3 linked regions of the Nothobranchius furzeri genome follow. The protein of the gene in region 1 interacts with the protein of each later gene in a pairwise test. Links are inferred from orthologs where the notes say so. Each region holds a gene or a part of one and is shown in the gene's direction. Other genes may lie near its edges.

Region 1 (8,070 bases):
TTCTGATTAATGAGTTTAAGCCTGACTGGTTGTTTTGTACACATGAGAAGGAAATTAAGATGTTCCCGTCAGAATAAAAATCCATGTACATAACATTTATTTGTCCAAGATGGTATTATTTCATGTTGAAACTGGAAACAGTTGGATCAAAGATGGTGTGTTCATTTTTGAGATTTTTGTTGGAATTTTCAAAACTAGCTCATGTTTGACAAAAATTTGACAAAATACCATGTAAGTTGTGCAAATCTATAACACACAATTTTAGAAAAACACATTAGTCATTCACTGAGTGGTAAATGACAATAATTGTTGTGCAATACTATAATGTACTTATCACTTGAAATTGTATAAATGTTAGTTTTTTTAGACTGTTGATAATGTTCAGTAAATTTGTAAAGAAATATGTTGAATTTAAATGAGAAAAATGTCTAAAAATAATAAAATCATCAACTGAGAGAAAGTTTTTCCATCAGTTTCCCTTAAAACATATTTCTTTGCTTTATTGCAACAACGTGCATGAAATTTTAATGTTTAAAATTTAAATTAATATTTAGAAAATCAAGCATATCTGTAAAAACTTTTTCCTCGTGCTTTACTCATTGAGCAAAACAGGCAAGCAAATCATAAAACAGCAAAGCAGTCAAATTTATTTAAACTACTAAATATTGTTGGAATTAAAAAATATTATTAAGATAATACCACATCTTTGGACAATTATATAATTAAACTGATTTATTGTGTTTTTGTGCTTTTATTGTTTATTTTCTGCTACTAGGACTTCCCCAGGTGACATTCTAGCGGCGATTTTTCATCTTCTCGCGATACTTCACTGCCGTGACGTAACACTCCAAACATGAGCGATGTCAACAAAACACAGGAGGAATGGGACTCAGTTTTCAGTGAAAACGACTCCTTAGAGCTCTTCTCCAGCCTTGAAAATGACAACAAACAAGCTCGAACGTTTAAGATTATCGTCATAGGAGATTCTAATGTGGGGAAGACGTGTTTGACCTATCGCTTCTGCGGGGGCTCTTTTCTGAAAAACCCGGAGGCGACAATCGGAGTGGATTTCAGGGAGAGGACGGTGCAGCTGGACGGAGAGAGGATCAAGGTGAGAAGGCTCTTAAAGCAATCAGATGTTTTCAGTCATAACAGAACTTTTTATGGGATTCACGGCAAAAACAACATTTTAATAAAACAACTTATTTAGCTACATCAGATATTTAGATTGTATTACAGTATAAAGCAGCTGTGGCACAAACCAGCTGTGTTAGATCAGATGGCCTTTCTACTGACATTAGACTACTATGGTCAAGTCTGCTTGGAGATGTGTGCCACAGACAAAGTGTAAGGAGTCAGATTATGACTTGATGTGTTTTTGATTCTATTCCAGCTGCAGATTTGGGACACAGCTGGCCAGGAGCGGTTCAGGAAAAGCATGGTGGAGCACTACTACCGCAGCGTCCATGCCGTCCTCTTTGTGTATGACATGACCAGTCTTCTCTCCTTTGAGAGCATCCCTGAGTGGATCAGCGAGTGCAGCCGACACTCTGTGGGGCCCTTAGTGCCTCAAGTGTTGGTAGGAAACAAATGTGACCTGAGGGAAAGTTGCCAAGTGCCCACGTCGGCTGCTCAGTCTCTCGCTGACAGCCACAACATACCTCTGTTTGAGACCTCGGCCAAAGACCCCAGTGAGAAAGAACACATCGATGCGATATTTCTGACTTTAGCTTACAGGCTGAAAAGCAACAAGACTCTGAGACTGAAGCAGCCGAGTGAGAGCAGTCTCAGGGAAATGCGGGACCAGCAGGAGCAGGATGCAACATCTTGTCGATGTTGAGGTTATCTGTGTCCCAAATGAGCGGAAAGTGAACGTAGATCCTGCAGCAGACTTTAAACAGATAATCGAGCCGGTTTAAAAAAATGTCTCTAATTTGTGTTTTAAAAAAATTGAACCGAAGCTTCCTGTGATTCAAAACTGGACCCATGCCACAATGTAGATGTATACGTTTGTTAACCAACCTTTCTGTGAAATGAAAAAGGGGAATGTGGGTGTATTCCAAGTATTTGCACTTTAGATGAATGGTTATGAATGACTTGCATTATTCAAAATCATCACCCTTCTTAAAGGATTCACTACTAGATCACAACATAGACTGTAAGTATTATTTTTGAATGTAAAATCACAGAAACAGCTCAGTCAAAATCAGGAATGCAATTTTAAACATGGAACTGTCTTTGGACGGGATTTAAATACATTTTATTTACAAAATAAATTTGAGTATTAGTCCTAATAATGACGATTAACTCTCATCAAATATGGTATTTATGCTGCATGTATACAGCAGTATAGTTTTCGCAAAGCTAGAGATTTCTGACCATGTAAAGCAGCAAATCAAATAAAACACTTTTTATCTGGATTATAAATGTGTATTTTTGACTATTCTGGTTGTTGCTCTGTAACATTAGCTCAAACATGTCAGGTAGCTGGTCTTGTTTGACAAAGGAACTATGTAAGAATAAATCAGTTCTGATATTATCTCACACTCCCTTTAATAATATTAATGATGATAATAATTAATGCAATATGCCAGTCTCTGAACAAGAAAAGTTTAATTTATACAGCTTTATAATTTAACTAACTGTTGATGAAGATACTTTACAATAAAAAGAGGCATATGGTAAAAATGTGCTACAATTGTCTCCTATTTGACGTAATTCTAGCGCCCTCTAGCGGACAACACATGTAACTAGCAATAATGCGTTACGGAAAGTTACGTAAAAGGGCGAGTCTGTAATTATAAGTACTAGTTTAACCTACTTATTAAGAAGAATTCTATTTGTTAAGCTTTGTTGATTAGTTGTGCTCTTACAACTGTGACTGATTAATGTGCATGCATAAATAAAGGGGCGGGGTGCTGCTACCGGTCCCCATTGAATAGTGCCTGCATGGTGTTTGTTTGTTCCTCCGTCAAGGGTAACTGGCCGTCGGTTCTCCTGTCTTCAAATGGCTGCGTCAACACTATTAATTAAGACTAAAAATAGCTACAAAATCTACTTCTTTATATGTAACGTTGACGTGTGGTGACAGTTTTCAAGCGGTTCTTCGCCTAATGGAAGCTGTGTTGTCATTTTTACCAGCTTTTTATGGGTAAGTGAAAGCAGCACGGTAACCAGGCAGTCTGTATTCTCTTCTCGGCGTCTCCGCGACCACAGCTCTCTTTTCTGGAAGACGACGTCAGAGAACACCTGTCCGTCAGACGTTTTTCGTGTAGGTATGAGTATTATTCCGTGGATAAATGTTTAATTTACGATAATGGTCGCCATTGTTAGCTTGTTTTGGAAGCTCCACACGAGGAGCCTTTTCTCGCTGACACGATTCGGTTTGTTTGTTTGTTCATTTATTTATGAGTTATCTGACCGCAGGCTGTTGACGCTAACGTAGATTGTAAGGGAGTGTAAGAAAGTAAACAAGCTTATATGTAATGTCCAGCTAAATTTCCCATGAGGTGAAGTTCACTGCCCACCAGCAGCTAGCTTAACCTGCATGTAGTAGGTTGCAGTCTCATTCTGATAAAAGCAGACGTCTAGATTTAATCTGTTGTACATTTACATTTAGGGGGCGTAATGACAAATGCTGGGTTGAATTTACATTTCGAACAGCCATCGGTAGCCAGTGCTTTGTTATTCTTCTTAGACATGTTTGGTTCCCTCTTTTTTTTTTTAGCTGTCTTTCAACATGAATTTGGCTGAAATCTGTGACAACGCCAAAAAGGGCCGTGAATATGCCTTACTAGGAAACTATGACTCCTCCATCGTGTACTACCAGGGTGTGATTCAGCAGATCCAAAAGCACTGTCAGACCCTCAGAGATCCAGCACTTAAAGTGAGATGGCTGCAGGTGAGTCCCTTGAAACCTGGTCTGAACCATTTTTGAGCTTTTGTTTAGGTTCCTCGCCCCTGTTGTTTTGTCTATTGTTACACGATCAGAGTCTACCAACATCTGATGGGTTTTAAAGTATTAAAAAGTGGCAGATTGTTCCAGTAGAGCTGATAATTCTGTCAATTATTCCAAAACTGAAGGCAAGTAACAAATATCTTGTCCTGTGTAGACACTGTGGCACGTTACTAAGATGTTTTGTGGTCATAAAAATGTTGAGAATCCTTCCATATGTGGCACCAAAGTCAAACTCCAGCATGTGAAGGTTAGTGTGGATTGTTTAAAAGCACTCCACACAAGGTTGACCCGGAGACACGTGGAAGGATGGCTTTTGTTAAAGTGCACCTACGCAGATTTCTAAGGAGAGAAGCCTACAATGACACCAGTTTCAACAAAGTCAGTTTTTTGTCGGCTGAAAAAATACACTCTTGCAACCGGGTTTTCATGTAGAAGTTCATTATCCATCGACTGCATGTGCAAATGAATGCATTTTATCACATTTTTTCCGTGATTCATTATTTATTCTCCCTTTTATTGGTAATCAGCTCAGACAGGAACTGACTGAGGAGTACGAGCAGCTGAAAGGCATCATGGGAACACTTGAGAGCTTCAAGTCAGTGAGGCCTGCTGAGGTCCTCCCCTCTAAGGTGGAGGAGCGACCCGAGGATCCAGCTGTGTGGCCTCCACCCATCCCAGCAGAACACAGGTGGGTAGAGCTGGTGTGCTGCAGATTTCATTGCTTTTGGATGAAGAAAACTAATTATAGAAAGCATGTTTCTAAGTTTGACAATGGTAGATTTTATATCAGCGGATATAAGCAGAAATGACCCATGCCTATTGTGTTTTTGTAAACCCAGGGAGCACGGCTGCGTTTGTGTTTCAGTGATCAGAGTTCAAAAAGAAACTCAGCAGAGCAAAACCGGCAGAAGGAAGCACTTTGAGTTTATTTTGCATAATCGGTTTAATCTCTAGAATAATAAATAACTATCAGAGATCGTCTTTTACCTGTTATCCTGTCTGAAACTGCTGGTATTTTCAGCTATTATCCATCTTTCTATATCGTATTCTTTGTAGGAATCCTGTTGCAGCGAAGCGGCCCAACAGCGCCGTGAAGCAGCAGCAGAAGAAGGACTCTTCTGGTCTGCAGCATCGAGGAGCAGGGCCAGGAGGCCGTGCCCAGGTCAACCCCAAGGCAGCAGGGGCCAGAGACACTCGGGGTACAAGGGCCAAAGACGATAAGGTCAGGCAGCTGAGCAGGCAGACATGTTGTTGGAGCCTTTTATTAAAATATCCTTTTCTCTGCAGGGGAAGAAACCAGATCTACAGGGAGATGCAGAACAGAAGAAGTTTGATGGTACAGGATATGACAGCGACTTGGTGGACTCACTGGAGAGAGACATTGTGTCTCGTAACCCCAACGTTCACTGGTATTTATATTTTAAGCTTTGTAGCAGATTTCTTTCTGCTCTGCTCACTGGTTGCTCTCTGATCTGTAGGGACGACATCGCTGATCTGGAAGATGCTAAGAAGCTGCTGAGGGAAGCCGTGGTGCTTCCCATGTGGATGCCTGACTTCTTTAAGGGAATCCGGCGGCCGTGGAAGGTACAAAGGCCGGATGTGTGCTTTCATCCTACTTTAGGATCAAATTCGGTTTAATCTGCTGTATAATCTCAGATTTTCCTCTCGGTTAAACTTCATCATATGAGGCCTTTTTCCCTTCAGGCCCAACATGTGAGAATTTTTAAAACGGCACAGCTCTTGTACACCAAAACTTTCATTTTAGAAATTGATGCAGGGCAGATTTTTCACCAAAAAATCTGTAGGAGCAGCAAAAACAAGAATCCATAAACGGGTTTAGAGGAGAAATACATCTGAGTGCAGGTTGCCTGAAATCTACGGAAGCCCTAAAAGGCAACTGAAAAAAAAAATTCTTGTGGCATTTTTCAAAGTTTTTATTTATTTATTTATTTTGCACAGCCCAGAGAGGCAAATGGAAAAAAGTTCTTGTAGCAATTTTCTAAGATTTTTTTTTTTTTTGGCCAGAATTCGAATCAGAAGGGAATCACAACATTAGGAAATTGCTGCGATACTTGGTGCAAGAAAATTTTAATGATTAGCAAAAATTATAATAAGGAAATAAACACAATGAAATGATAATAATGTATACAAGCCAGTGTAGGTACTGGTCCGAGCGGACCTATCAGTTAAGGTGCAAACACAACACATGGTCATGTGACGGAAACAAAGCAGCTGGAGTTGGCAGTTCTATGATTGACATTCATGAGTCTGACCACAGAAGGGGAAAAAACTGTTCGTGTGGTGAGAGGTTCTGGTCCAAATGGATCGGGCCTCCTGCCAGATGGGAGTGAGTCAAAAAAGACTGTGTGAGACGGGTCAGCTGTGATCCAACCTGCACACCACAATGTCCTGGAGGTGTACAGGTCCTGTATGGAGGGGAGTTAGCGGCCAGTTACCTTCTCAGCAGAGATCATGACGCGTTGCATTCTCTTCATGTCCCTGATGGTAGCTCCAGCATACCACATGGTGATTGAAGAGGTGAGGATGGACTTGATGACTGCGGTGTAGAACTGCCTCATCGACTGTCTGGTAGGCTGAATTTCTTCAGCTGCTTCAGGAAGTACATCCTCTACTGGGCCTTTTTTATGATGGAGGTGATGGTATGCTCCCACTTGAGGTCCTGGCTGATGGTGGTGCCCAGGAAGCGACATGAGTCCACCATCATGATGAGTGTCACACAGGGTTGTGGGGGGAGTGGGGCTGTGTGCTTCCTAAAGTCCACGACAACCTTGTCTGTCTTCTGGGTGTTTAGCACCAGGTTGTTGTGGCTGCACTAGGACACCAGCCGTTCGACCTCCATTCTGTAGGAAGACTCATTCCCATCAGAGATGAGTCAGATGACGGTGGTGTCGTCTGCAGACTTGATAAGCTTGACAGACTCATGGTTAGAGGCGCAGCTGCTGGTGTGAGGGGAGAGAACACAACACTGATGGTCTGCAGGTCAGAGACATTCTTCCTCAGCCTCACTTGCTGCTTCCTGTCCACCAGGAAGTCAGCGATCCACCTGCAGATGGGGTCGGAGATTGGGAGAGCTTCAGCCTTTGTTTGTATCCTGGGATCAGATGGATGGTCACATGGTCAGAAAGTCCGAGTGCAGTGCGGGGCACTGCATGATAGGCTCTCGTTACCATGCTGTAACAGTGATCCAGTGTCCTCTCCTCTCTGGTTGGGCATTTACTATATTGTTTATATTTGGGAAGCTCCTGGCTCAGACTGGCTTTGTCAAAATCTCCCAGAACAATGATGAGGGAGTCCGGGTTCGTCCGCTCCATGCACAATGTCTGTTCCGCGAGCCGAGCCTCATGCACATCCGAGTCTGGCGGGATGCAAACAGCAGCTGGAATGAATGAAGCAAACTCCCGTGGAGAGAAAAAATGGTTTACAGTTCATAAAAAGATATTCCAGAGGGGGAACAATGCTGAGCGATTGCTGTAAGATCTGTACACCAACCATTATTCATGTAAAAACACACACCTCCACCTGTTGTCTTGCTGGAGAGAGCCGCTTGCTGATCGGTGCAGAGGAGACGAAAGCCCTCCAGCTGGAGCGTGCTGTCCGGGATGCCCTCACTGAGCCACGTTTCCTTGTAACACAAGACACAAGATGAGGAATAGTCTGTTTACGTTTCTCATCAGGGCCAGCTTGTTGCAGAGTTGGAGAGGAAGACCCCAGGTAGAGCTATGGAAGGCAAAGAAATGTTCTCCTAGAAAAATTTTAAGTCATTTTTTTTCTGACTTAGCCCAGTAAGGCAAAGGAAAACGTGTCTGTCCTCTTGTAAATTTTCTAAAGATGTATTTTTGTAAAAGTTCAACTTTTTTTTAGTTTGCCTCTGGGCTAAAAGAAAAAAAAACTTAAAAAATGCAACGCTGGAAGAAAAAAAATTATTTTTCGTTGCCCTGCAGGGCTTCCGTAGATATCCCTGCACCAGCTGCTGATTTTTAGTCCACGCCCACTTTTCCTGCTGAACTTCCAATAATTCCCATCAGCATTTAGCCGTAATGCTCAGTTTGAGTCATCCCACAGGGTTGCAGCCTCTTCTGGAGCATCGATGG
Region 2 (7,730 bases), on another chromosome or scaffold:
GCAGCAGCTGATGCTTGTTAGACATCATTACATCAGAGACTGATGGGTCCCCGGGGTCGCTTGTGCTGCACGAGAAGATGAGCAACACTGATAACTGGGTTGGTGGGGGAGGTGGATGCAGACTGCTGCACAGGGTCGGCTGAGTTGGAGTTGTATTGGTTGGAGGCTTTCTGACACAATTCCCAGAGATGTTTGGATGAGTCAGAACTCTTAAGCGTCTCTCTAAGAGTTTCATCAGACCTGCCCTGTGAGTCTGTCACTGAATCCCATCATGCTGAAATCACACCCTCTGAGATCTGCCATCAGTTTCAATTTGTGGACAAAGAGTTGCTACAAGAACATTCAAGGACAGCAGCTGTTATTTAACACAGGGATGCCCTGCAGCAAAGAATCACTGCTCCCATCAAAATTAACACACCTGATCCAAGATATAAGTATAAATAATCTCCCCACTGTGGTCTGGGTCTGCTGTAGGGTCTGAGCTCATCACCGTGGCTCTAATGCTTACAGATGAAGAAAGTCCATCTCAAGGGATGTTGTGACGTGTTTATAAACCAACAATTTCACTTTAGCCTTGAAAGACATGAATTCAATTAAAAAGTGTTGTTTAAAAAGTCATCAGAATGTAATCTCTGGCTTTAGCTGGAGTGATTCTCAGCCAAGTGTGAAGCAGCTGGGATGAGAATCAGCTCCTCTAAATCTGAAACCATGGTCTTGAGTCAGAAAAGAGTAGAATGCCTTCTCCAGGTCAGGGATGAGGTCCTGCCTCAAGTTCAATTCAATTCAAGTTTATTTATACAGCGCCAAATCACGACAAACGTTGTCTCAAGGCACTTCACATAATAAACATTCCAATTCAGGTCAGTTCATTAAGCCAATCAGAAAAAAGTTTCGTATATAAGGAACCCAGCAAATTGCATCGAGTCATTGACTAGTGTCAGTGACTTTACAACAATCCTCATACTAAGCAAGCATGCAGCGACAGTGGAGAGGAAAACTCCCTTTTAACAGGAAGAAACCTCCAGAGGATCCTGGCTCAGTATAAGCAGCCATCCTCCACGACTCACTGGGGATGGAGAATACAGAGCAGACATACACACACTCACGCACAACACACACACACACACACACACACACAAAACACACGCAACACACACACCAAGTAGTGTTTCTATGGTAACATTGTGATTTCTTAGTAAATATTCTATTTGGTGAGTTATAAACTTTATTGTATTTATCTTAGTGGATCTATAATTAAACAGTTAAACTAGTAGTAGCACATGCAATGTCAAAGAAAGTAAAATATTATCAGGAGAGGGAGAATGATTAAATGATTAGCAACAGTGTTCAAGCCGATGGCCCCCTCCATGAGGCCACCACAGCTCAACAGAACATCATTGTAGCTTCTTCTGGGGAGAAAAAACAGAGAAAAAATAAAGTTAAAAGCTGAAATAGCAGGAAATAATACAGTTAAAGAGCAGATTGTAGAAGAAAGTAGTCGAGTGTGGAAAGTGGTCAGTGTGTCCTCCAGCAGTCTAAGCCTATAGCAGCATAACTACAGAGATAACTCTGGATAACCTAGCCTTTTAGATGGAGGCATGTTGGAGGCAGGGCAAGGGAGAGCCGTCTTTACCGACTGTACACTACACCTCCCTCTACTCCCCCACTTGTCCAGATCTAGGTTAACATCAGATTTTACCCATAGGCCCTATCAAATAAAAATGTTTTAAGCCTAGTCTTAAAAGTAGACAAGGTGTCTGCCTCACAGACTAAAGCTGGGAGCTGGTTCCACAGGAGAGGAGCCTGATAACTAAAAGATCTGCTCCACCTGAATCCGAGGTTCGACAATCCGCCGTACCCTCCTCTCCAGAACCCCAAAATAGATTTTACCAAGGAGGCCCAGGAGTGTGATCTCCCTGTAGTTGGAACACATCTTGCGGTCCCCCTTTTTAACCACCCCAGTCTGCTAATCTAGTGAAACTGCCCCCATGTTCACGCGATATTGCAGAGCCTCGTCAGCCAACACAGCCCTACGACATCCAGAATCTTAAGGAACTCCGGGCAGGTCTCATCCACCCCTGAAGCTTTGTCACCCAAAGTCCCCGGACCATTCTTCCTCACTAGAAGACGTGCTGGTGGAATTGAGGGGGTCTTTTATCTCATCTGTAAAGTTTATAGACAAAAGACAAGATTTAGGAATGCATAATAAGATGAATGAATTCAGTCTTCTTGAAAAAACTCTCGTTTGTAGTGTTATGTTTTGTTTTCAGTGTTTTGTTTTTTCCCTGTTTAATTCTACATTTTTAAATTGAACTCTTCTTGTTTTGCTCCTATTTGGATTAAAAAGGAGTCTGTTTTAGTACATTTTAAAGCAGAATTTTTTTCTGAAAGTATAAACCATATTAGTTGTATATTTGTCCATTTAAAAAAAAGTTTATGACGGGGGACATATTTAGATGCAACACCCTACCTGTTCTTAATCGAGCTGCATTATGGGCTACTCCACGCTAGATGGCGCCAGAGTGGAGACTTCTTTAGTGACTGCTGCTGTGTAAACGTCCGACAGTCGCCGCTAAAACTACAGAAACTGTGGCGTTTCTTTGCCAAAATATATCCCACAATCCCTCCTCACCGGGTGGTGTATTCATTTGAATGGTAAAACAGACTTGCTAACACGGACGGGAGGTGAACTTTCAGTTTTACCTGGTTTTCTGCTTTCGGATTTACACACCCGAGGGGACCTGTTGGATTTAACAAAATGAACCGGTTGGTATTTAAATCTACCATGTAAATGGAGAAATATACGCTTTTCTTAATTACCTAGCATGAAGTTGTAAATTGCCTGAGGTGGAATGCTAACCCTTTTAGCGCGGCCCAGCTAGTTACTTTCCACGTCTCGGTGTTTTCTTCATAATTAAGCTAAATGCTATTAGTCGAAGCTAAAAATACCGTCATTGTTGACGCATGAAGCAGCTTTATAGCTGAGAAATGCAGTGTTTCCATTTTCCTAACTTGATTGTTTCATGTTTAGCGAAGAAAAAAGTAGCTTTTAACTTTTGCTGCAGTATATTGAGCTTAAAGCGGCCAATGCCTCAGAGTTTATTCCAAGTTAAGCGTCTGTTTATCGATCTGGATCACTCTGCACCGTAGCTCGGAGGCTAGCTAAAAGTTAGCCAACATGTTAAGTTAGCGTTGGAAACAGCAGTTTTATTATCAATGATTGTCCTAATTTTCTGTCCCAACAGCGTCCCTTATTATGGCATTTGGTAAGCATGTTTGCCGACAGAAAGCCTTTAATGTCAGCAACCATAAATCCAATGGCTTTCAGCGAACCTGTCTGCACGTTTCTACTGAAAAGATCATGAAGCAGGTATGAAGCCACAGAACCAACAGCTTTGTTGTATTAAATGCAGTACTTGTTTGGTTTAGTCCTGGTGACAGTGAAGTGCCGTTCAGTGGTGTTGTAGTAGAGACTGTGGGAGTGGCCTCATCCCCTATCCTTTTGTTTTAGGTGGAAATTAAAAATAAGGAAGAATTAGATAAGAACAGGTGAGTCTCTAATCCACATGTGGGGTTCATCCAAATGTGATCATTCACTCATTCTGCCACAGATCACCCCTTCCAGCCACGGGAACCTTCAGACATCTTTCCATGACCATATATCACAACGTCTGTGACCCTAAACGTTGTTTTTAAACTTTCACGGCCTGCGCTAATCTCCATGTCTCTTTTGGCAGATTTCCGGTGCATTTCAGAAAGCAGAGTCCAGGCAAAGTGAAGCGGTTGTCGTTTTGCAAGAGGAAGAGTTGTTCGTCAGTGGAGGTGGGCACAAAGCTTCACTGCAGGTTGTCAGATGTAGGCCGTCCCCGTGACCCCGGCATGGCCAACAAAGAAAATGAGCTGTCGTGCTCCGATGATGTGCGGAGCATTCGCTGCTATGATAACCACGGGCTGCTGGTGAACTCTGCAGAGGCTTCCAAGATGGCAGGGGCCAGCTCTAAGTACAGCGACTTCACTGAGGTGAGAAACTGATCTGAAGCTGAGTGTTAGTTGGAAAAACACCACCCTGTTTGAGCCGTCGTTGGTTGTTTGTTTCTGAGTAGTTATCGAAGGAACACGAAGCTATGTCTCGCATCCTTTTTGGAAGAGATCTTCGACTTAAAGTTGCACTAACATTATGGCGAAGAAATGCCAGTGAATTGGTGTCCTATCTAATAAGGTAAAAGCACCACTCACATTTGGTGTTTAGTGTTTATTTGTCAGTTACATGTTATTGTTTTTGCTTCCCAGAATACAAGACACAAGCGTTCTGCTCGACTGCTTACCGGTCTTAACAAACAAGTAAGTCACATTTGGCTTTTACCTCATGGTTGTTCATTCTAAAGTTTTAAGTTTAATATTTACTATGCCTCTGAAAGGTGGGCGATTCACGTGTCTGCTTTCCATCGCATGTGGTTTTTTTTCTGTTTCATCAGCCTTCAAACTGAAACGCCGTGTTTGTCACTTGGCTGCTGTGTTGACCTCATGCCTCACGTCAAAGTGGTTCTCTCCAGTAAACATGAAGAGTAAGTATATTATTCTGACACCTTAGCTTGTTTGAGCTAGCTTGTGCCGTCAGAAACATTCAAACCGTTTTTAAAAGAGAAGTTGAGCTTTTAAGTCAACTAAAGTGCGCAACTCCGCACTCGCGCTGATGAAGCGTAAACCAAGCTTTAGAAACCAGCCTGAACCTGCTGATGTGGGAGGAGTCTCTCTCTCCCCTACTCAACTACATTCTCTCTCTCTCTGTCCCGGGCTCACCTACGGTGCCATTATTATCGGCTCTAGCAGCGCTGTGTGTGGGAACATAAAACCGGGAAATCAACCTGAACATGCAGCTTTGGCAGCTGTGGAGTTGGGCTCAGCTCTGGACGGTACACCCCACCCCCCTCCCCCGCGCTGGCTTTTGCTGCCGCCATAACACGGGGAAAACCCCGGATGTAAAAAATAGTTGCACTACTGATCCTGGATCAGTCAAAAACCGCAGTTTTGACGCTCACGTGATCGTGCTGTTTGAAATCGCAATTTCGGTCCAAAAACGATAGATCGTTCAGCCCTAATTTCGGTCCACCAGTAAAACGCTTTCTGCGTATACTCCTCAATAAAACGTTCATATTTAAGAGTTTTTCCGTGAAGTAATCTTCAAGTTGCTCTGTGTGCTGCTAGATATCTTCAGCTCTCTTTGTGTTTTGGGCCCATTGGCTGTGCTGTTGTCAAAAGCAGCATCCTGACCAATCACAAGCTTACGTTCTCTGTCTTGTTCAACGGGTGTTTAGAAAAGTGTGTTTGACTCCGTCCGTCCGTGCGAGGGCTCTCCAGCAGGCTTGCAATGGCGTTGAGTGGGCTTTAAGGTTGCATTTGTGACTGAATGTCATATAATCAGGATATCTAGATGTTCGAACTTCATTGTTCTGTTTTTCTTATAGACACATAACCGCAGGTTTACACTGGATCCAGTCTGTCGTCAAAAAGTGGTGGCCAGATCTTTCTAAAAGTGAGAAGAGACTGCGGGACAGTTGTTCAGATGACAGGTGAGCATTTTAGTAAAGGACAGCAGGTGATTTTATTTTTAATGGCTCAAACTTCTGTGATGGATGTCAGAACAGACAGCTGTGATGCTCAGAATATACCCCAGTGCACACGTTAGAGTACTGGAACGAACTGGTGCCCAGTACTACATGACATCATCTAGAGCGGGCGTATAAAAGTATGGTCCAATAGCATTTCTCTAGCTAGATTTTGTCCCTCCAACAGACTCGGCTTATTTTAAAATGTTGTGCTAAGATTTGTGCCTTTTGGGCATTTTTTGAGCAAAACACATAAAAACAATTTTTACGTTTTTGTGGCCTGTGAAGACTTGTTACTCGTCTTGAAAAGTTCAAATATGGAAAAATAAAACGATTAAACCTGCATGGAAATAAAAGCAATAGAGTTATTTGTTATTGTGAGGCTTTGGTGCGTTCTGTTGTCAAAACCAGTAAACAGAACCTGAAATTGGTCTAGAGAGAGACTTGGTTCAGATAAAATCTGGAGACTAAAAGTTTGGAGAGTTTTCAGGATTCAAAGTTTTTATTGTCTCCAGAAAATCAACTAAACCTTTTGGGCATGAAGATTTAGTTTCATGTGAAATCATCATGCTGCTTAGTAACATGAATCCAGTTCTCCACATGACAGAAATATTACGAAATACGGGATCATTGGTATCATTTTTTTATTTCAGAAACATTGAGATGATGAGACAGCGACTGAAGGACTTGTGGAAGGAAGGATCTCGATTATGTTCGGTTCCAGGATCTATTGGAGAACTGGCAAAGGTATAAATGACATCCTTAATATATCCATCATGAGTTTTCTTTTATACAAGGTTCTTACAGGGGCCATAAATCATTCAAAGTGCTTCAATTCTAATGTATTTTCAAGGTTTTATCACATTTCTGTTTGAAAATGATTTCATAAGTGCGTGTTAAATCTAACACTACATCTTATAATGCTGACTTTTTCCATCTAGCTGTACTAATAACGATGTGCTGACTCTTGTTTTGCAGGCCATTGAGGCGTACCTGTTGCAGCTGCCCTGACAGGTGTTGCTGAAGCACTCCGAGGATAAGACCACTACTGCTGATCACGGTTGTGTTTTCAACTGATAATGTTGCCAGAGAGATGGACTGGTGCATTCTCTTCACACTCAAACCTCTTATCTGGGACTGAACTTGACAATTCAGACAGATCTTCTCAGTTTGGGAGCTGAGGACTCCTGAGGAGGGCTTCAACGTCCTGCCTGCACAGCAAATGACTGCTTCACATTGAAGTGGACCGTCTGGTGAAGGGGCACGTTTAGTGGACCTGGTGAGACAGGGTGTAATGTCGCTCTATGAAGTGCCAATGTCTTTGTCTCTTCCTGTGCCGCTCTGCGTTGTTTTCTATGCCCTGCTGTTTTTTTTTGTTGTTGTTTGTTTTTCACCTGGTTTCTCTGGAATCGGGAACTTGAATCTCCACCTGTCTTTAAGTTATTACCAGTGCTTGTTTTCATTTTGCCTCTTCCTGTGATGTTTGATTATATAATGTAAACTGTCAAAACAAATTATTCTTTTAATTTTCTTTTAAATAAATCTCTTTGACTAAATCTGAACAATGTTGAAGCAGGTTTTCTAATGATGTTTCAGGGGATGTTCGTCCTTAGAGGTATAGGAAACTCATCTAATGAGTACATGTGCACTGGTCTCTGATAGGAACGAATGCCTTGCAAGCCATACTTGGGGCTAAAAAAGCTCCGGTGCACCATTTTCAGAAGTTAGAAGTGAGCCACATCAGAGCTGAGCTTCAGCAGGAACTGGAGTCTTATTTCCTGATATTTGGACATCTTGCTTCAGATTGGATAACAGCAACATGACTATACCACTGATGTGCAACGTTGATATTTTATCTCTACAAATAACAAGCCTGGAGTTTTTCCTGTGTCATGGTCTTGCTAATGCTAACAGTTAGCGTCTACTAGTTGGGTCACTGTGTGCTGATTCCTGTTTAAACAACAGCCTTCCCCATTGTGAGTCAAGATGGGTGAGTCCATGAATGTTAACTCATTCACTGCCATTGACGACAAAAGTCATTTTAAATCCAAGCGTTTACTGCCAATGATGTCATTTGTAATTTTTTTTACTGTGTGGGCGTCGGACGAGCCCCCGCACCGTAAG
Region 3 (7,915 bases), about 5.5 Mb from region 1:
AACTTTTTTTTTTGCTGATGAACTGTATAAATGAGTGTCTAATAGTGTTTTAAATGTGTGTATTCATTATTTTAGCATTTTGGTGCATTTTCTTTAAAAATTAAAAATTCTGCCTAAATACCACAGTATAGCGCCACCTTCAGCTTAAAACATAGAGTTTGAGTCATTTTGAATACACTTTAGCCAATGGCTAAAGAGAAAGATACTACGTAAACCAGTAGAGTACTACGTAGCAGCTCTGTGTCAAAGTTATAAAAGCATCGAGAGTCTCGGCCACGCCTTGTGGTGAGTTGGGATTTGGATTTGCAAGCGAGTGTAGGAGGTTAGCGGTAGTTCAGTATTAGCATATAGCATTAGCATAACCTAATCTTTAGCATAGCTTTCAGTGTTATACATACTTATTTAGTGTTAGCTTGGCTGTTGGATATTGTAGTTTAGTTAGTGTTTAGCTGTTAGTGTTAATAGGAAAGTAGTTTGGGCTTAGTGCTCCATATCGTGTTAGTATGGTGAGAAGGTGTAGTGTAGTGTGGTTGCGGTGGCTTTGTGGGGTTGTACTCCTTTCCGCTGGACTTAGAAATTAGGCACCAGTGATTGCGCGCAATTGGTGTCTGGAAAACAGTCAGTTCCCGCCTGGTGCTGTAGTTTGCAACCAGCATTTTACCCGCGATTCCTTCACCAACATGATGGAGTTTGAACTGGGTTGTTCTGCATGTCTCCGTTTGAAGAGGGAGGCTGTGCCCACTGTGGCTCTTCCTGGATTTAGATGCAGCCCACCGACTCTGCTCCCCCACCATGGCGGGCTCCAGTCTGAGGTGAGTAAGCTAAATAAAAGTTTTAACATCTTCTAAAGTCAATTCCCTACCTAAACGCAAATTTTGAGAGACGTGGTTCACTTAATTTAGCTAATATCAGTCTGCACTGCCTTTGGGCTGATTTTTAAAGTTCACAAAATGTGGAACGGGATGTAAGGTTAGAATCAGCGGCGAATCGGAACACATCTCGAAGCCCTGGCCGACGAAACAGTCCACATGACTATTACTGTCAGGCTCGGAGAAAATTCGGGTTGTTTTTGTGTCATGCTGTAGTTCTTTTTTAAAACACAGAACAGTTTTGTTACCCGTTTTCCCGCTACGTTTCGTTTGCGGCTGCAAACTTCCTCAGGCTGACGCTGATGGTGGCGTCACTTCCTTCTCAGTTTATCCGCGGGCAGCAGAGGACGTTGTCGCCCTCTGCTGCCCACTCTCCCCTCTCCGACGATGCAGTCCCATGCGCGGTCCAACGTGTAAACTCCATCGTCCCTGTTCATGGTCCCACATCCACGTCTCCTTGTCTCGATTGCTTCTTTTATCCATCTTTTGTATTTTTGTTGTTCGGTGTTTATGATCCTTATGTTGTCCCAGTCCATTATATGATTTTCTCTTATGCAGTGATCTGTTACTGATTTCTTTATTGTGCTTTCTGCTTCTTCTTTCACTGCTCTTGTGTGTTTTCGACTTGCCTCTTTCTCGCATTCCTTTCTATGTTCTATTGTTCGTGTGTTGAGTTGGCGTCCGGTTTCCGCTATGTATGTTTTATTGCAGAGTTTGCAGATCTTATGGTAAAAAAAAAAGAATCTTTAAAACGGGAACTGAAGGTGCACTGGAAAAGCCCAGTGGAGATCAGGAATGGGAGCGCAGCGTCTGGGGGGGGGGGGGGGGGGGGGGGCAGATCAGGTGAGTCCAGGAAGGTAAGTCTAAACTTGGTGGGTGCAGAGAATAGACTTACTGGGAGTAGGGGAGCGTAGGAATGAGGGAGGGTAGGTTGGGTGCCGGGGTGAATCCAAGTGGGGTGTCCAGGAGAGGGAGCGAGAGGAGAGCAGGAGAGCGGGCCGGCTGGGAGGAATGGAGAACGGTGAGAGCTGCGTCCGGAAATCCTATGTCTTTTATTCTTTTATTTGTGCCTGATGCGTTTCGCTGCTGTGGAGCGGGGCGCATCACCTTGTCCTCCGGTGACGCACCTCACTGATGCGGCCAGCAAGCACCGAGCACTCTGCTGTTTTTGCGGTCGGTAGATCTTTTAGAACTGCAGTTCAAAGGTAACTCATAAGGTGAATATATATGAACCCAGGTAGCAGTTTTTCTTTAGGATTGAGAGGAGATGCGGGAAGATAATAAACAGGCAGGACAGAAAAATAGTCAAATAAAAACAAGTTAGTTTTTATACCTGGTGGTTGCAACAAACAGACACCATTGAAGGTAATCAGAAGTGAGGAACAGAAAATGAAATAATTATTTTAATGTTTAGAGCAGCAGGAACTCCGAGAGGCTGCAGGCGCATCAGTGAGTTTGCGGCTGCTGCGCAGGGGGAGGGGGGGAGAGAGCTGAAGCAGAAACTACCGTTGTTAAAAGAAATGTGTTTAACTTTGAAAATGTGGGCGCAATTTTAATTGTCAAAAACTCCAGTGAACCATTAATTCATTTTGCTCAAACAGAAATTGAGGCCTGCCTCTAATTCTGGTCCTCCTTCCAATAAAGGCCTGGAGCTTGATGAGCTTTAGTCAAATACAGGCCCGGGCCTGTATTAGAGGATGTACGGTATCTGCAAATGCATTTTCATTGAGCCTTGATTCCAGGGACTCTGCCAGGTTCAGTCTGTAATGCCACCTCCGTGCTGTCTAACCACCAGTGTTAAAGACAATCAAGATGTCAATAACATTTCTATTCTATTCTATTCTATTCTATTCTATTCTAGTTATGGCTAATTATAGTCTTTAGAATTTAAGTTTTAGCTAAATACAGCCAAAGTAAATTTGTTTTAACTTACTGTATTCTTGGCATAATAGTGTCTTCAGATCAAAGTTCATTATTCCTCACCAAAACATTAGATTTGTTACCAGTTTTATCATGTAAATGCTAGTCTGGAATAGTTTTTCTGATTTTTTGCACAAATTAACTACATTTCCCAGAAGCGTAAAACACAAGGTCACGTGGAAATAAATTTTCCACGTGACCTTGTTACCCGGATGATATTGTCAATTTGAAGGTGAAAGTGTCCAGCTGGTGTGGACTCGATACAGGTAAGTCAGCATTACTTTTCATAAGTTAGTCTCGTTAATAATCAGCAGAGATTTTAAATGATGCGCTGCGTCATGCGTTCATTTAACCGCTGCGTCTATCTGGAAAGAAATCAGCTAAAATATGACGGAACATGTTAGCTAATGTGTGCTAGCTAACTTAATGTAATCGTTTCGCAACGTCTGGTGTTGGACTAGAGGACTAGAGACAGCACGGCGAAACAAGTCATGAAGGCACGTTTCGATGCCCAAAAAGTCCTCAAGGTGCCGAAAGTTCCGTGCTAGTTTCTGTTTCTGAGTTCAGGCTTCTGGAATTTACGTCAGTCCACGTGTGTGTGTGTGTGTGTGTGTGTGTGTGTGTGTGTGTGTGTGTGGGGGGGGTAAATGCTGTAATTTGAATTTGATTTGGAATAAAATCCTAATACAAAAGATCAGAGTGTTTGAAATGTGTTAAAACTGTTGTGTCTTGTAAATGTAGTTTAGTAACACAAGTCAGAAGTAATTTTGAGTCATTTAGCAAATTATTCTGGAAGCTTTTAATTTCTTTTGTACTCGTTTACAAAGGACTACAAATTTGTTGATAGTCCCTAAGCGAACCACCGTTCCCTATAGCAAGTCCTTGGAATTCAGCTAACCTCCGTCTGTGCCGCAGTCAGGGGCGGATTTAGCAATTTGGGGGCCCAAGGCGAACACAGACACGGGGCCCCTTACACAAAATTTTCAACAATCTTACCTTTAACTAGATTTGCGAAACTCCTCCCTCTTCTGACATGAGTTATTTTCCCTTTTTATTAGTCCTCTTTTTTCCTTTTTTTCTCTCCCTTTGAGTGCTTTCAATATTTGCTCTGCTTTCCTTTTCCTGTCAGTGCTCCTGTGCTTTAGCCTTAGTTTTTTTTTTCTATTTTCCATTTTGGTCTATGTTTCCCCCCCTTTAAACATTTTCCATTGTCTTTCCTTTCTGCTTCTTTTTGATGTTTACACCGAAAAACGACGTCACTTTCAGAAGTGAAAATAAAAGCTTTTATGAAGCATGCTGCTTCTTTCTCTTATTGGAGCCACTAGTATAACTCCATTTCATGCTTCATATTTTGACTATCGCTTTGAGTTTGTTACGAACGCTCCCGCCTCTCTTCTTCTTATTATTTATCTCCAAACTCAGTTATCTTCCTCAGCTTTCCCCAGACGATGTCATCATCTCCGGTGGGACCCAGAGGTTTCCTGAGGCAGCCCAGAGATATTGGGTGTTTATCAGTGTGAAGGCACCTGGCCTTGTGAGGCTAGGCACATTGCTTACGAGGACACTGTCCTTCCTTGGTCAAAGAAAATGGTTAAACGGAACAGACTTGCATCCTGTGACTGTGGCTTCCACGGCCGTCACGTCACGTGACACGGGAGATAATGTTATATATATAATACATATTAGTTTCAATATAAATATATAACGAGCCTTTTACTTTTAAATTGTGTATAAGCTTGTTAAATTAAATATATGCGAGTTACTACCCCCCGCTAGCCACCGAAGCTGCAACTAAACAGCAACTAACCAACCATAGATAACTGCTTTGGATCTAAAAAAAAACATTTTAAATTACCTGACTTACTTTTAAACTTTAAATTTGCCCTGAAGTAGTTGCTGGCTTCTGATCTGCCATCCTTTTGAAAATACCGTGGTGTATTCTGGGAAATTTTTGACCAATGCTAGGCTACAAGACACCTCCCGCGTCTCCTCGCTCAGCTAGCTAAACGGCTAACAAACGGAGAACACACGCCTCGGCAGAACATGAACATTGGAACACGTCTTGGCGGCTCCTGATGACATATCTCCTAGGCAATCGGGGTGGGGCCAGGACATCAAGACGAGGTTCCTTGGCATTGAGAAACACCCATTATGTCTCCAGCATGTCCTGGGTCAGATCCGGACCTTCTTGCTTGTTTCGTTTCCGAGAAACATGGTTGGCGGACATGTAGATGAGCAACTGTGCACTCAACATTTAAAATTGTCCCGTTGAATTTTGCTTTTCTTCTATATTTCAGCTAGAAGATGTCCTCCCTGTGTGCTGCTAGCGTTGAGACTCCAGCTGTAACTGGAGCTGCAGAGCAGCCGAAACGTCTGAAAGCGTGCTGCGCTTGTCCAGAGACTAAGAAAGTCAGGGATGCCTGGTGAGAACCTGCTCATAGACACAAGAGCTGTTCCTGTTTTGGCGTGTAGAAAACATTTACTTCTCCCTTGTTTTTTCCTTCAGCATCATTGAAAAGGGAGAGGAGAACTGCAGAGACCTCATCGAGGCACATAAAGAGTGCATGAGGGCTCTTGGATTCAAGATTTAACCACTGGTTGTGTGTGTGGCAAGTGTCAATGGTTCTGTTTTAGTCTGCGTTGTAATTCATAGACCGGGTTACGTTTCCTTCTGGGTCAGATTTGTCTCTGTGGGGACTCTGTGGACCACTGGGTGGATTTTTTTAGACAGTCAGATCAAACTCTTTGGTTGTAGAGCTAATTTAAACCTTTGAGTCAACATCAGCCTACCCAACAAAGATGGCTACAGCTCTTGATCTCACAGAGTTTTATTGACAGCACTTACAGATCACACTAGGACCCTCATTTATCAAATGTTCATATGTCCTAAATTCCCTCCTATGACCAAAATTTAGAATGTGTGTACGAACAGTCAAGACTTAAACGTGCGGGAGCCTCTCGTACGTACGCATCTCCGCAGTCATCTGCTGATAAATCCCACCTGTGCGTACCCAGGCGTTCGTGTCCGCTCACCGTCATTTACATACAGAAACACCCTCAATTAACCATATTTGGTTACGCTATGTCCGCAGCACGTGAGGGGATTCCCTGTTTTTCTTTTTCCAGAAAAAATAAGAAAAACTTTGACAACGAGATCGAAACACTGGCTGCCGAAGCGCAAAAAAGAACAAGTTGCTAAGGTCATGAACGGGACTGAGAGGTTCCCGTCAGGAATAAATACAAAGTGGATTTGATAAATCGTAGAGTTACGGGTTGTTCGGAGTTAGTTTCATTTGGAAATGTTGTCTGAGTGAAGCCTCTGCCTCTTCTCAGCTGTCATTCAGTCTGGTTGCGTGCATGATTGGAGAGCAGAGGAGGACTTTGTGCTCTGTCGGTGACAGCTGCTCCCCTGCTGCTTTGCGTCTCGTGGGAAGGGCCAAGCAGCAGCTTACGCGAGCAAGACGTGCTGCTGCAGTAACGTGCTGCTGACGGCTCCGGTGGAAAGAAGGGGTTAGACCTTTATGATTGCTGTTCCCCCGGTCTACCTCCTAGATGCTGTTCGTACGCGTGGTCAGAGCTGTTCTTATGTTGAGGAACATTTGTACGCACAAGTACAAACTGGCAAATGCCACACGTAAAATCGTTCCCACGCACTAAACATGCACAGATCATGAGGGCTGAGGTCTTTTTAAAGAGCAAGTCACTCCAAATCAACATTTTTTTGCTGATAAACTATATAAATGAGTGTCTGATCGTGCTGTAGACAAATGTATTCAATAATTCGGCATTTTAGTTAAAATTTAAATATTCTGCCTAAAACTGTCAGCGATGCACCGTCGTCTGGTAAAAACTCTGCACTGCATTTGAATTTAAATTGCCATCGCTATTGGCTAAGAGGTACACTATGATGTTAGATCACATAAGTCAGAGTCAAGGCCCGCGGGCCACATCTGGCCCGCGGAGCATTTTTATGTGGCCCGCGAGATATATATCAAAAATATATTAAAACTGGCCCGCTGGCCGATTTTACCGCAAAGACTACAACTCCCATGATGCTTTGCGGCGCCAGCGCGGAGCAGACGCGCCCCCTCCTTTGTGTTTTTTCAGCGCCGAGGCAGTCAGAGGTAGTTGGGTGTCTGCAGCTCCGCTGTCTCGGACAAACTACACTCCTCTCACTCAGCGCCGAGTTCACTCAGCTGTTTTCTGACGTTGAAGCCCAGAAACGGAGATTCTAGCCGCTCAGTAATGTGTTCACGACTTAAAGAGAAAGTTTTCAAACTAACTTCCAGACAGAGCTGATATAACCAGCAAGAAGTGACACGCTAAAACCAGCACGACTCTGTGGTTGTGTTTCCTCCCCGACTCACAACAACGTGGTCAAGCTGCTCAGACATGTTCATCAGCACAAACCTATAAGGTGAGCACCTGTTGTCATCTAATGTCATTATTATGATGAAGATGAACAAAACAACAGGAGTCTCCTCCTCAGCTCAGGTCAGCCCCATGATGCAGGTATCTGGCTGGAACAGGTGAGCATCACAGTAAACCAGTGGAACAAACTGAGCTTTAAATATGTTGGTTTTATGCTCTTTTTCTGCTCCAGAACATGAAAGTTAACAAGTGAGATGTTGCATTTTCATTTAAGATAAAATGATATCTTTATTTTGTTGTTGGCACGTGAGAAAAGATTTAACCTACAGGAAGTGGAAAGGCTGCAGATAGATGAATAGAATAGAAAATCCCTTTATTGTTCCTCACTGGGGAAAGCTAGATGTCACAGCAGCGATGACACTTATTACAGGAGAAAAAAAATAAGAAAAATGAATAAAAAAGAAAACATAAATCCTGAATATATTTTAAAAATGCTGAATATACCACAAGTAATGAATACCACTGATGTGTTTTATTTGTAACTGACTTGCTCGTGTGTAATTTGGTTATTCCACATTCAGTGTTAATGCAGAAATATGTTTGTTTCCAAATTAAAAGGTTCAAAATTGCATACATGTTGATAAAGAAAACGTGCAAATTTGCCGTCACTTTTTCAAAAAATATTAAGTTTGGCCCTCGACTCCGTCCGAGTTTCATTTCGGCCCCGTGTGAGTTTGAGTTTGACACCCCTGTGT

What was found.
Region 2: the proteins of katnal1 (region 1) and katnbl1 interact in binary tests that used the Homo sapiens proteins (3 or more experiments, as listed by UniProt). The two-hybrid records come from large-scale screens. The link is inferred for Nothobranchius furzeri from reciprocal best matches to the Homo sapiens genes KATNAL1 and KATNBL1.
Region 3: the proteins of katnal1 (region 1) and cox17 interact in binary tests that used the Homo sapiens proteins (3 or more experiments, as listed by UniProt). The two-hybrid records come from large-scale screens. The link is inferred for Nothobranchius furzeri from reciprocal best matches to the Homo sapiens genes KATNAL1 and COX17.

The regions. Positions count from the first base shown.
Region 1 is NC_091754.1:27,837,402-27,845,471, reverse strand, and holds the start of katnal1 (katanin p60 ATPase-containing subunit A-like 1), read left to right. Parts: upstream 1-3,099; 5' UTR 3,100-3,271; exon of another isoform or gene 3,272-3,275; intron 3,276-3,727; 5' UTR 3,728-3,739; coding exon 3,740-3,901; intron 3,902-4,485; coding exon 4,486-4,646; intron 4,647-5,014; coding exon 5,015-5,180; intron 5,181-5,245; coding exon 5,246-5,367; intron 5,368-5,436; coding exon 5,437-5,542; intron 5,543-8,070. Other genes in the region: zgc:101559 (ras-related protein Rab-33B), read left to right, coding at 854-1,111, 1,394-1,840. UniProt on the Homo sapiens protein: Regulates microtubule dynamics in Sertoli cells, a process that is essential for spermiogenesis and male fertility. Severs microtubules in an ATP-dependent manner, promoting rapid reorganization of cellular microtubule arrays.
Region 2 is NC_091742.1:12,530,859-12,538,588, reverse strand, and holds katnbl1 (KATNB1-like protein 1), read left to right. Parts: upstream 1-2,628; 5' UTR 2,629-2,766; intron 2,767-3,245; 5' UTR 3,246-3,256; coding exon 3,257-3,370; intron 3,371-3,511; coding exon 3,512-3,549; intron 3,550-3,737; coding exon 3,738-4,020; intron 4,021-4,103; coding exon 4,104-4,219; intron 4,220-4,290; coding exon 4,291-4,341; intron 4,342-4,475; coding exon 4,476-4,565; intron 4,566-5,465; coding exon 5,466-5,570; intron 5,571-6,259; coding exon 6,260-6,353; intron 6,354-6,584; coding exon 6,585-6,617; 3' UTR 6,618-7,162; downstream 7,163-7,730.
Region 3 is NC_091754.1:33,353,684-33,361,598, forward strand, and holds the start of cox17 (cytochrome c oxidase copper chaperone), read left to right. Parts: upstream 1-2,624; 5' UTR 2,625-3,055; intron 3,056-5,086; 5' UTR 5,087-5,093; coding exon 5,094-5,212; intron 5,213-5,295; coding exon 5,296-5,380; 3' UTR 5,381-7,915.